3 linked regions of the Schizosaccharomyces pombe genome follow. Changing the gene in region 2 together with the main gene of any one other region gives a genetic interaction. Each region holds a gene or a part of one and is shown on either strand. Other genes may lie near its edges.

Region 1 (3,558 bases), on a different chromosome or scaffold from region 2:
GATATAAAGCATGCTTCAAAATATGTGTGCTATTAGCTATATTTTAAAAGACGTGTATTTTACCACAAATTTATTCTTCACATGTAATTTTCATACATTCACTTTTATTCTTATATAAACTAATGTCCCGTGGAATTTTCACTAAGCTACTACTATATTTATTCATAGAACGAGAAACCACCCTTTGTGGACATTTAGACTATTATTCTAACTTGATTCACGTGCCGTGTTGGTAAAAGCATAAGTTCAATTAAAAGAGCTTTTATCTCTAAAATAGAAGCAACAAATGCGATGCGAGTAGGAATGAAGTCAATTCTTAAAGGTAAAGCTTCTACCAAGATAAACTTACATATGAGTTAATAAATATTATGGTTAGGATACTCAAATTATAAGATAGCTTTTTGAGATTGTTTTTTGTTTGTAATATATTATTTTTTTTTTTTTTTCCTGTTTCGTTAGATCGTTATTTATTTTATTTTATTGTACTGTGTTTATTTTATTTTATTGAATAGTTCTTATGTGTGTGTTGTCTTTTTTAAATTTAATATTAAATGACATCTTTTTATTTTTTTATTTTTATTTTTCTTTAGCTTCACTTAAACCAATTATTCCTTTTAACTCATCGTCCATATTAACTATAATGTCTCCATACTATTTATGCTTCCTTAATTTCAAATTTCTCATTAACATTAATTTTACATCTACATCTACATTTATATATTTTTTTTTTGCAAACCTACGTAGAGTAACTTTCTCTTTTCCTTCGTTAAAACGATATCAATTTTAATACGAATTTACTCATTGTATTTCCATCTTTTCTCGTCTCCTCGCTCTAATCCTTTGTCGCTTTGATTTATTTGATTGCACTTACTCCATTGAAAACTCTTGATTCCCCGAACCCCCACATCCATCCAGTCCTTGAGAGATGCAAGACAAGAGAGGTTCATGGACCCAAGTGGGGTCGATTTTTTTTGGAGTGAGTTCCTTTTGATATCAATTGACCATGCTAAAAGCTTGACAAAAACAAGTATTTATCCAAGTGAGAACTAATTCACTAAGTAGATAATTTTTTGTTAAAGTTAGTTTTATGAAACGTACGTTTACTATTTACTCAAAAAAATTGAACCGAGATATCGGAGTCAATGCTATTCGCGATTCAAAAGAAAGATCAAGTGTTAACAGGAGCTTGAGTCGAATTTTCATACACTCATATACCCAAAGAAACACATTAATAAACAAACACCTAACTTGGCGTTTGTTTTCAAATACTAAACGAGCGCTGACGTCAATGGCTGATCGATCTATAGACTAGCGAAAATAGCAATAATTTGTACAATTGGAAGATCATAAGTATACATGGGTTTGAGCTTTTAGCGTGCACATTTTCGTATCAATTTCTTTTCTGAATGTAACTAAAAGACACTACAGATATTGTAGTAAATTCATCTTCCAATTCACTGCTTTGCTGTTAGGATATCGGGTACACAATCGCAAAATAGATTGCGGCAGCTTTCGGCCCCGCTCATATGTTTTCTATTCCGATGGAAGAAAAAGAGTTCAAATCGCACTCGCTTCCACACTACAACTACGCAATAACTCATCATTTCCCCACAAAAGTGACGTATTGTCCGTCGGCTATGTCCTAATGCAAAGCTTTATTTATTTGCGAGTTTTCCTCACCTTTTCGTCAATCTAATTTCAATCAATCATTTTTTTTACTTGCTTCATTTTCAAAGCATTCGTTATTCTAATCTTTTCTTCATTCTTACTATAACGAGATCATAAATTCTTTCTTGTTATACATACCGTTTCTACTTCGCTGCTAATTCTTTTTTTCTTTTGACATTTGTGCCTGTCTATTAATAATTCTTAACAGACATACTCTACTTCTCACTACTTCTTTTTTTCTAAGTTACAGTTTCTCATTAATTACTTTATCGAAAGATGTCTGTTTATCAAACTTACAAGGGCTTGCCAGCTGGTTGGGTCGCCCAATGGGATCCAACTTATCAAGCTTACTTTTACATTAATGAAACGTTTGAAGGTGCTCAACCACAGTGGGAGCCTCCTATTCCAGGCTTGCATATTCCTCCTCCTCCCGGTACCACTACCGTCGTCTATCAAAAGGACGTGCCTCGCTCTTCTGACGGCTCACGGTCTATGACGGCTGGATTAGGAGGTTTCATGGTTGGAGCTTTAGCCGGCAGTGTTCTTCGTGGTCACCGTGCTTACTACGCCCCTCCTCCTCCCAGAGGCCCTTTGTTTGGTCCAAGAATCGGTGGTGGCCATCATGGCCCACTTCATGGTCCTCACGGTGGTTTCGGCGGCCGCGGTGGTGGACGCATGGGTGGACGTGGTGGACGTGGCCGCAGATGAAAAGCGTTGATTTTTATTTAAATTTGGTTCCGATTTCGTCCTACATACTATGGTCGTTGATTATGGAATCGCTCTTTTTTTTTGAGAACATCACTTTCTCCTTTGAATAGAATCACCAAATTCACGTATACGACTCTTTCGAAATTGTTAAATGGAAAACACGATATCCAGTGAAGTTCTTTTTATTCCCTTGAAATTTCATACTATTTTTGCTAATCGTTCTAAAATTGTTATATTCTGTTAGTCGTTCTTTGACCTAATTTCTTGTTTACTTATATTAATTTTGTTATCATCTGATCTTTACTTGTTTCAAGCTTCCTTATTTATTGTACCATTGCATTCTTTATTGGGATTTCGAGGAAAACGGTCTAATTTATAAAATTTCTGTTTAATACCAAAGAAGTAAGGAGCATATATTATAATGGGTGTGAATATCGACGGAGTTGGTTGTCGATGGAATCATTTTTTTGGCATTTATCACTTCGACGTGTATTTACTTATTTATTTATATTTTTTTTTGGTTAATTGTAAAAAATTGGGTGAAGCACAATTTTTGAAACTTTTAAAAAATCAATGGTTGTTTTTTCAGACGTTAAATTAGTTTATTATGCATGATTTAAAATAGTCAATTATATATCTTTCATTTATTATTATCATTGTTTTTTCATTACTAGTTGTCCTTTTTTTTTGGGTATTTTAGTTGAATAGTTTATAGTGGTGTATTACTGACTATATAATTGGCAAACTCAGATATTTGTTTGGTTTTGGATTAAATGCACAATTCCGAAAAAATTAAGGCAGAAAGAAAAAAAATTTTTTTTACACTTATGGGATGTCATACCACTATTTTAAAAGACAAACAGATATCATTTGAATCGTTTAAAACCTGTATTTATCAAGCTGTTTAAAATAAGAGAAATATAACTTGGCTCTTGGATACACATAATGAAATAAGAAAAGTTAATATATTTCAAAATTAAGAAATATTATCTACGGTACAACATTTATTTGTTCATATTACGATTATTCAGTAAGGATACGTAAATTTGTACCTGGCAATTATCAAATGAATGTCGAGGGTTTTCATAGCAATGCAAAACCGTTTGTTTTTAAGCAAAGCCGGCGATTAAAAAGGGTAATAAGAGCAATTTTCCTTTTTCAATTAGCTATGTTTCAAGTCAA
Region 2 (3,937 bases):
GTAAAATCTGCGATAAAGTTGGTGGGGTTCCCGATGCCTTATATAATCGAGGCAAAAAGCGGCATACGCATATCGGAGTGCGGGCGACGTCACCTTGATTGACTCAATGTGCTAATAATACGCTCGTTAGGCAAAGCAGTCATAGAGGAGGCAAAGCGACTGTTTGACAACAACACAAGCTATCAGATTATGGTTGGAAAGAAATGAGCAGGGCAAAAGAGAAGAGCAAAACAGTAAATAAACAAAAGAGATGAATTGAATGGAAATGCAAAAGAGAAAAGATTTGAGTAGGAATGCGAATGCGGATGCGAATGAAAAAAATGAATGAAATAGCTGCTGATAAATGGAATGCATCCTATGCAAGAACAAAGAGTTTGGAAATTGAGTGCAATGACTTGATTTCCAGAGTGAAGTATTCAATTGACCGTTGAAAAGTGGGTCGAGTGGGTTTCAAAGATCAATTGCTCAATCTTTGGTGGCTGCAACTATTCATTTCTTTTTCATCCGACAGTATGCGTATGTTTTGTTTTATCTTGAGATTTTGAGTGGGTCGCATTCGCTTTTCATTTCGCTTTCGCTTCTACCCGCCTAGTGGCATTCGCCATCCTTTTCGCTTCGCAGCTTAATTTATCAGTATGGGCATGCATGGAACGCAATCCACGTTGTGCATTGCGTTTACGTAGATTAGCAGCATAGAACTAACTGCGAATTTGTCATTGCCAACAAGTGTCATTCAGACAATGTATGAATGGATTAGTGTAGTACATGCAACTTGTATTTGCTATTGTAGATGGAAAAGTAGAATAGTAGCTAAGGGTGAGATTTGTAAAGAAATGAAACTGTGAAAGCAAATTAATTTATGTGGCTAAAATTGATCAAGTACTTTTCTTTACACTGTACTAGATCAGCAGGCTATGATTACTACTAGTGGATGCTTGCAATCATTGTTTGTACAATCATTCACAATCACAAATTACACCTATTTTCACATTATTTTCCACCAAAGATCCTATCGCTTGCTGCTCATGTAAAAAATTCTAGAATTCCTTCTACCTTACACTTTGTACTGCCTTCATTATCAAAACTGCATTATCGGTCAGTGTCATCTTTGCCCTACTCTTGTCTTATCGTCTTATTCGCTTTGCCCAAAACATGGTGGACGAAAAACGCTTTTCTATGCATGTCTAGGCTTTTGCCTTAATTAGTTAACTTCTGTCGCAATCCCGATTGTTGCTTGCATCCGGCGACTGCCACACCATTTCACTGTCTTTCATCGTTTCTTCTTATTCCTTTGTTTACGCTTGAATGACGGTGTGGCAGGTATTTTGCCTTTATTACTTAACTCACTAGTCAGTATACTTTATTAAATTATGTCTTATTAAAGACTGTGCTATACGAGACAGACATTACCATACTAGACAACTATACTATACTAACTAAACTAAACTAAACTATACTATACTATACTAGCTTCTAATTGCCATGCGGAAATTGCGTTGTGCATTCGACTTTGTTATTTGCCTGCCTACTTGCTATCTAATCTGTAAAGTGGATGTGATAAGTGGATATAGTGTGTGTGAACAAGTCGCTAATTTGATTTCGCGACCGTTAAGCTAAATGTCCGTTGAAAAAGCAATTTTCAGGCTCGCAGGTTCGCCATTTTCAACTTGGCTTTAACACCGCAGTGCCTTTGTTTGTAGATGGAACCAGTTATACCAGAGGGCGCTCTTTCGCAATCGGTATGTAAAGTGTGGTTGAAGTGGATATTTTTCATTTAGTTTGATTTTTATCCGACAAAAAATGCAGCGTTGATTATTTTTTTAGGGAAAGGGGTTTAGTTTTATTCATTCTTTCTTTTCTTCAGGTTTTTGTTTCTTTCATTCTTTATTTTTTCTTTTTTTTTGTTTGTTTGTTTCTTTTTTTTTTATTATATTTTTCCTTCTTCTTCTTCTCCATAATCCTTTCTTTTGTTTCCTGTTTAATGCCCTAATGCACGAAAAAGGTGATAAAAACTTATTGGCAATACTAGTTTTTTCTTTCGTATCTTTTTACTTTTTCTTGTTTTGCTCCCTCCAAAATGATGAAAACACTGCATTTATGAATCTCCTTCATCTTCCCCTTCCTCTACTAACTTGTTTAGACTAAAGATTTCTTGGCAGGTGTGTCTGGCGGCGTCGCCCAGGTCCTTGTTGGACAGCCATTTGATTGTGTCAAGGTTCGTTTGCAATCACAGAGTAATGTTTCCCCCATCTACAACAATGCTCTCGATTGTGTAAAAAAAATTTCCAAAAACGAGGGTTTAGCCGCCTTTTACAAAGGGACCGTTTTACCACTTTTGGGAATTGGATTTTGCGTTTCCATTCAGTTTACCACCTTTGAATATTGTAAACGTTTCTTTTCTCGAGACGGTACTCCCGTGACCATGCCTCAGTATTATGTTTCCGGTGCTATTTCCGGCTTGGCGAATTCTTTTTTGGTGGGTCCCGTAGAGCATGTCCGTATTCGCCTTCAAATCCAGACGGGCAAAAATGTTTTGTACCATGGTCCTTGGGATTGTATCAAAAAGATTTCTTCGCAATATGGTCTTAGTGGCATCATGAAGGGTTACAACCCTACTGCCGCTCGTGAGGCTCATGGCCTTGGAATGTATTTTTTGGCTTATGAAGCTCTGGTGAAAAACACAATGGCCAAGCATCATTTGACCGATCGATCACAAACCCCAGGTTGGAAACTTTGCGTGTTTGGCGCCGGTGCTGGTTATGCAATGTGGCTAGCTGCATATCCCTTTGATATCGTCAAATCCAAAATTCAAACGGATGGCTTTTTAAGTAAAGCCACGTACAAAAATTCTTGGCAATGCGCCAAAGGTATTTACACCAAAGCTGGCCTCCGAGGCTTTTATAGAGGCTTTGTACCCGTATTAGTTCGTGCTGCTCCCGCCAATGCTGTTACATTTTATGTATACGAGACTGTTTCTCAACACATCAGGCATCTTTAATTACTGTAGCTTTTCCTGTTTTTCTCTCCTCTTTTTTGAGATTTTAGCGTAGGTCTTTAACATTGGATAATCAAAGTTCTTTATTGCTCCCTTTGTAGAGCTTCTTTGTTTGTTAATTGCTGGTTTTATTCCTGATTTTTTCCTTCTTTTTACCAAGAAGTGCTACTAATATGTTTTAATTTTTCCCTACTGGGTCACTGTTAGTTAACTTGCTTTTTGTTTTGTGGCTATTTCATTAGATTAGTTGATTTTAAGAGATTTAGATTTTAAATATACCCCCCCCTCAATGCGATTCCTCCTTTTTCCCTACTGATTACTCATGTACTACTTTACTCTGCGAATAATACGATATAATAAGTAAAAAAAAAAAGGTCATTCAATGTTCCATTAACATAATAAAACTCATAAAATAGTCAAGCAGGTGAAATCTTCACTGGGTGACGAATCCGTAACAATAACAATGAAGATGAGAATAGTGAAAGTATTAATAAAAGAAGTATTAAGAGGATGGTGTTGGCATAGTGGGAGCTGGAAGGGCACGTTCGGGAGGTGGTAAAGAGCTAGGCTTTTGCTGAGTAGGGATTTGTTTGCTTTGTTCTCGAAGGATAAGGAAACGAGAAATCCTATCGTCTTTGCTTAAATCGGCCATGCCTGTACTATAATAATCAAAATTGTCTTCCGCACGACCGATTGCGGCTGATCGAGCCTCACGATAAAATTTGCCATTCCGATAATTAGAGTAGATGTTGATGATGACAAGGATAGACAATATGCCTGCAAAAACAAGCATGCCTTCATCGTCAAATTTTCTGTTTTTATTAGAAGCATTTTGGTCATTCATATAATCATAGGAATTGTAGTAGTATTCTTCCCAAGACCCCATACCAGCAGAACGACGAGATCTTGAATAGGTAGGATACCTCGCTTGAGACCAATTTT
Region 3 (4,852 bases), on a different chromosome or scaffold from region 2:
AGGATTTGATGAAAGATTGTATGTTAGAAAAATTTTCATCCTCTTTTTTTTTTTTTTTTTCTTCAAACTTCATACAAACGTAAATATCTCTCAAATTTTGCAATACCGTCCTCTTCTTCCTCGTCGATTTAGATCCGAAATTCTCCTTGGCAGCAGGGGACGGAAAATGAAATAAAGTGTTTTAGCAATTGGGATCGCGAAACCACCTGCTAGAAAGTGTTTAGGAAGAGAGTCGCCGTTCGAAACATAGCGATAACGAGTTCAAGAGCAGTATCCGTAAATTCAGAGGATTAGTGAGTGCCAACACTTCTTATAGATTACGGATAGTAAGCAGTAGTAGATGAAGGATGATGGATAGGTGGATGATCGGGGTGGGAGAAAGTAGGGAGACAGAAGGAAAATGGAATGTAGCTAACTGATAATGAAGAGAGAGAGAGAAAGATTATTTCGTAGATAAAATTTGGTGAGCTTTGACAAGATAAGTTTTGTTGGAAAAATTATGAAAGTATGCAAGAGTGTGAAGAGTAAACAAAAAAGAAAAAGAGACGTTATAAGAGGAAGGATGAGTTTGATGATCTTTTAATATCTAACGAACATAAAAAACTAATGAATGTAATAATTAATAAATGAAGCAAACTAGCGAATGCAACACCACCTATTGATTGCTTTATTTATTTATTTTTTTGCTTGACAAATACCCTTTGGATTTACTCACTATCCATCTTATCCACCGTAGGGGCCATAGTAGACTCGCCTTTCGGCAGCCTTAAAAACGCTACCCTATGTTTCGGGTTTAGGGTGTGAATACGCTATCCATCTAAGGGTCCGTTCGTTTATCACACCCAAATCTTGATGTCGAGGATCTCAGTCTTCAACGTCACCATCTGAAAATTTACTCTTGTTGGGTTGTTTCGCCCGACAAGACTAGACCTAGCAATGACAAGCAAAGTAGAGAAAGTAAAGTAAAGAAAACAATAGAAAAGAAATCAACAAAAAAGCAAGAGTAGAAAAGAGTATTAGCCGTTTCTAAGATTTTGAGCAGCGACTCTCTACAATGTTTACACTGTTTACATTGTAGGAATAGTCGCTTGCAATGAATAGCTGCATCGCTACTAGAACTATTGCATGTGAAACAGTAAATACCAGACTAGAAAGATGAGAAGACCACTAGAGAAGAAGGACTAGAGGAGAAAAGGGACTAGAGGAAAAAAGGAACTAGAGAAAAAGGACCAGAGAAAAAATGATTAGATGAGTAAGTGAGTTAGAAAAAAAACAATTAACCACAAAAAAAAATAAATAAAAAATAAAAATAAAACAATCAAGAGCATGCCTTATTTGTCAGCAACCTTCCTTTATTAGACAGCGTCAACACATCTCAATACAAAATCTTCATCTCACTTCCTCCTATACTTCAACACAGCATCTTCCACCTTGTCTTTTTGCTTGCCCCGCTGCCGCCCTTCAAGCTCGTCGGTACTTGTTCTCATATTCGGTTTTACCTCGGATGCTGTTACCTCGATACCAGGTTGGGTCACCTAATTTTCTTGCAAAAGTCCGTTATCCCAAGTTGTCCCAAGTTGTTCGGTCTTGCTAATTAAGGGGATCATCACCCTATCTTGACCCGTTTAACGCAAGATAACACAGAATCTTTAAGACTAAAAATTGATGCCAACTTGATATAAAACGTGCTTCGTTCGCTCTTTTTTCTCTTCCAGCTCGCCTCTTCAAGCACTTGATCCAATTACGACACGAGAAGAAGGATAGGAACCAGCGTAACTGGGAACAACTAGCAACTATTACGAGCAATATCTTTTAAAGTCCTTAGACACTCTTGTTTACTCACTGCTATCCCATACTCATACTGCTGCTTGCCCAGTACTATTTGTTACTGAAGAGTGTTGTTGATATTGCCATTCCTACCGCTACTACAACCACCACAGTACCACCACCGCTTTTTTTACGCATCCTTTCCCCATCTCAAACGTACGGGATAATTCTCTCAAAGCGTGGAATCAAACCCTTTGTTTTAATTGTTTTTTACTCGTTCACCTGCTATTTGGTGGGCTGTCTGACTTTTGTTTTCTCATTGGCTAGTTGGATTGTTGGACAAGGTTGTCTTATCATTGCATCGATATACCTCATTTCCACCCGTTGATTGATCAACCCTTGTAAACTTAGCCTTTGTTTGCTATAGAAACGGCTTAGTCACTTGTCGTTCTTATTTTGGAAATCGTTCTGTCTTTTCCCTATATCGCCTACTTCACGTTACTGTTAGTTTTGATTGAGCGAAGCAGTTTTAACGATACGAATCAAATTGAATTGAATTTTTTTATTCACAATCCCAATCATCGTCTTATTTTTTTTTAAACCACCATCAATCTTCCTTCTTACAATCCAAGTGGTTTTGCTTTAACTTGGACTTTGTGGTTATTATTGGTTTTTTGTATTTATAATAATTTTAGGATTTCGGGTTTACCTTTTTTTGTTGATATAATATATATCTTTTTACTTAGAAAAAGAAAAGAAAGGAATATATACATTTCCAAAGTGTGAATTACTTGGTTTCCCTCTCTTTACTTGTTTTTGTTGCTACTACTACTACTACTACTTTTGTTGTTCAATTGGTCTTGTCGTCGTTTCTCGGTCTTTCATTTTTACTCAGCATCTTTTTAATTGTCTTTTTTTGGTGACATTTCCTCTCACCTGTACTATCTGCCCCGTTAGCCTATACTATTCGTGTTTAACGTTTTAAATTTTTTCCTTCATTGCATTTGTTGAAGTGCAGTTTATTTGAAGAAAAATTATTTTTGGCTTTGCTTTTTTTTCGCAATCGTCTCTTTCTTTTCAGCTTTAACGTTGTATAAATTAGATTAAACCTTTAAAAAGAGAGAAAAATAGATACCTAAAGACCTTTTGCTTGGCTTGTTTTATTATTTTCACAAAAAAGTTTTTAATATTTTTTTTATCTTTTCTGGTTTTTTTATTCTTATTTTTTATCTTTTCTAATCTTTTTTTTAAACTCTTTGACTTTAACATGGCTCTTAATAGTCAACCCCCTTTGTCCCCCAAACCCGTTCCCTCCAATACCTGGAAGCGGATCGGCATCGATGCATTTGCCGCTACAGCCGCCAGTGCCATGATTTCTCCCTTTATCTTGACGATCGACCGCTCAATCGTCGAAAATACTAGTGGCCGTTCTACTTTATTACGCTCTGTTAGTCGCTCCATCAAATATGTTTTATCAAAGCCAGGCGCCTTCTTTTTTAGCGCTCCCTTTGCCCTGGTCTTTACATTATACTCGGGCACATATATGACGGCCAATTCCATAGACACACTGGATAACATTCGTCACAAGAATCCCGTCTTCAAGGCGGAAACTTCCGGCTGGTTTAAATTCTGTTCTGTCACCGCTGCAAACAGCGGTTTATCCATCTTGAAGGATAGTTTCTTTACCAAATTTTGGGGCACCGGTTCTCCTCGTCCTCTCCCTTGGTCTTGTTACGGTCTTTATGGACTTCGTGATGCACTCACCATCGCCTTTTCCTTCAACATACCTCCTATGATTGCTCCATTACTCCCCGGTGGTTTAATCACCGCTCAATTGCTCACCCCCTGTGCCGTACAGTTTATTAGCACACCTCTTCATCTCCTGTCCCTTGACATTTATAACAGAGGTGGACCTAACATATCAGCAGCCAACCGCGTTATGCAAGTTCGTAAGCATTTACTAAAAAGCACATTCGCCCGTATGGTTAGGATTCTTCCGGCTTTTGGTATTGGCGGTGTTACTAATCGTAAATTACGAACCACTTATTTGGATTCGCTTCAACAACGTACTATGAAAAAACAACAATTTGCTCTTGCTTAGTCCATACATGACGTTCTTTCCTTTTTCTTTCGGCTATTATTATTATTATTATTTTATTATTATTATTTTTCATCATTTTTTTATTATTCACTACTGAATAGTGTCTAAAAAGTGTGTGGACTACGGTTTAAACCTATATAAGGAAAGTGGCATACATCCTGTTATCTGGAACATGAAGCTGCATACTTTTTTGAATGAACTATATAGTGTATGTGTAATGAAGGTTTCACTTAAAAAAGTTTTCTACTTGATTTTTATGCGTCTGAGTTTTTTCTTTGTCTGGAGAAGAATTTGAAGAAAAAAGAAAAACTGCAAGAGAAAATAAAGAGGCAAAGAGACACATGGTTTTCTTTTGTACATTAATAAATAAAATTTGAATTCTATTTTAAGTCATTTTCGTTTGTGTTTAGTATGGTTGAGTATCAAATTTGTGTATGTCAAAAAACGAGCAACCGTAAAGACCGCTTGTTTAGCAAATTTATTCTTTTATCGTTCGTTTACAAACAGCTTTTGCCGATAGTGTTTTACGGTCTTTGAATGGGCTTTCGGTAGAAACCTAAAACCGATAAACAGAGTGAGATTATTTCTTTTTGCATTCCAATGTTGACCAGAAAGACGATAGCTTATTCCTATCTACTAGCTTACTGAATGGTTCAAAATGTACCGTACTACGGTAGCCATATTAATTGGTTCGTCAAAATAAATCCTAAAGTGTATAGCAACGGTTTTTTCAAAGCTCACCTACTTTTTACTGATCGTCATTATAATTAGTAAAACAATAAACACCTACTAGTAGAATCGCCGATTTACCATAATTTCGTATTGCGCTTAATTCTCTTCCCGAGGTATTTTGTTATTGCGATGGCTTGCCACAATAAATTAACTATTGTACGATTGCCGTCACACTATTTCTATCTAAAAATACTCTCATTCCCATTCCCATTTTTATCTCTCCATCCATACTTACTACATATGTTGGATATC

The links.
Region 1: mutations in ymc1 (region 2) and wwm3 together harm fitness more than expected from each alone (negative genetic interaction), as found in Schizosaccharomyces pombe (one large-scale study listed by BioGRID).
Region 3: mutations in ymc1 (region 2) and SPOM_SPBC365.16 together harm fitness more than expected from each alone (negative genetic interaction), as found in Schizosaccharomyces pombe (one large-scale study listed by BioGRID).

What each region holds. Positions count from the first base shown.
Region 1 is NC_003423.3:200,592-204,149, forward strand, and holds wwm3 (protein wwm3), read left to right. Parts: upstream 1-1,689; 5' UTR 1,690-1,944; coding exon 1,945-2,376; 3' UTR 2,377-3,032; downstream 3,033-3,558.
Region 2 is NC_003424.3:2,287,750-2,291,686, reverse strand, and holds ymc1 (transporter Ymc1), read left to right. Parts: upstream 1-1,669; 5' UTR 1,670-1,700; coding exon 1,701-1,739; exon of another isoform or gene 1,740-2,140; coding exon 2,141-2,998; 3' UTR 2,999-3,331; downstream 3,332-3,937. Other genes in the region: SPOM_SPAC4G9.19 (DNAJB family protein), read right to left, coding at 3,498-3,937. UniProt on the Schizosaccharomyces pombe protein: Acts as a glutamate and glycine mitochondrial transmembrane transporter.
Region 3 is NC_003423.3:2,527,954-2,532,805, forward strand, and holds SPOM_SPBC365.16 (uncharacterized protein), read left to right. Parts: upstream 1-1,713; 5' UTR 1,714-3,034; coding exon 3,035-3,868; 3' UTR 3,869-4,261; downstream 4,262-4,852.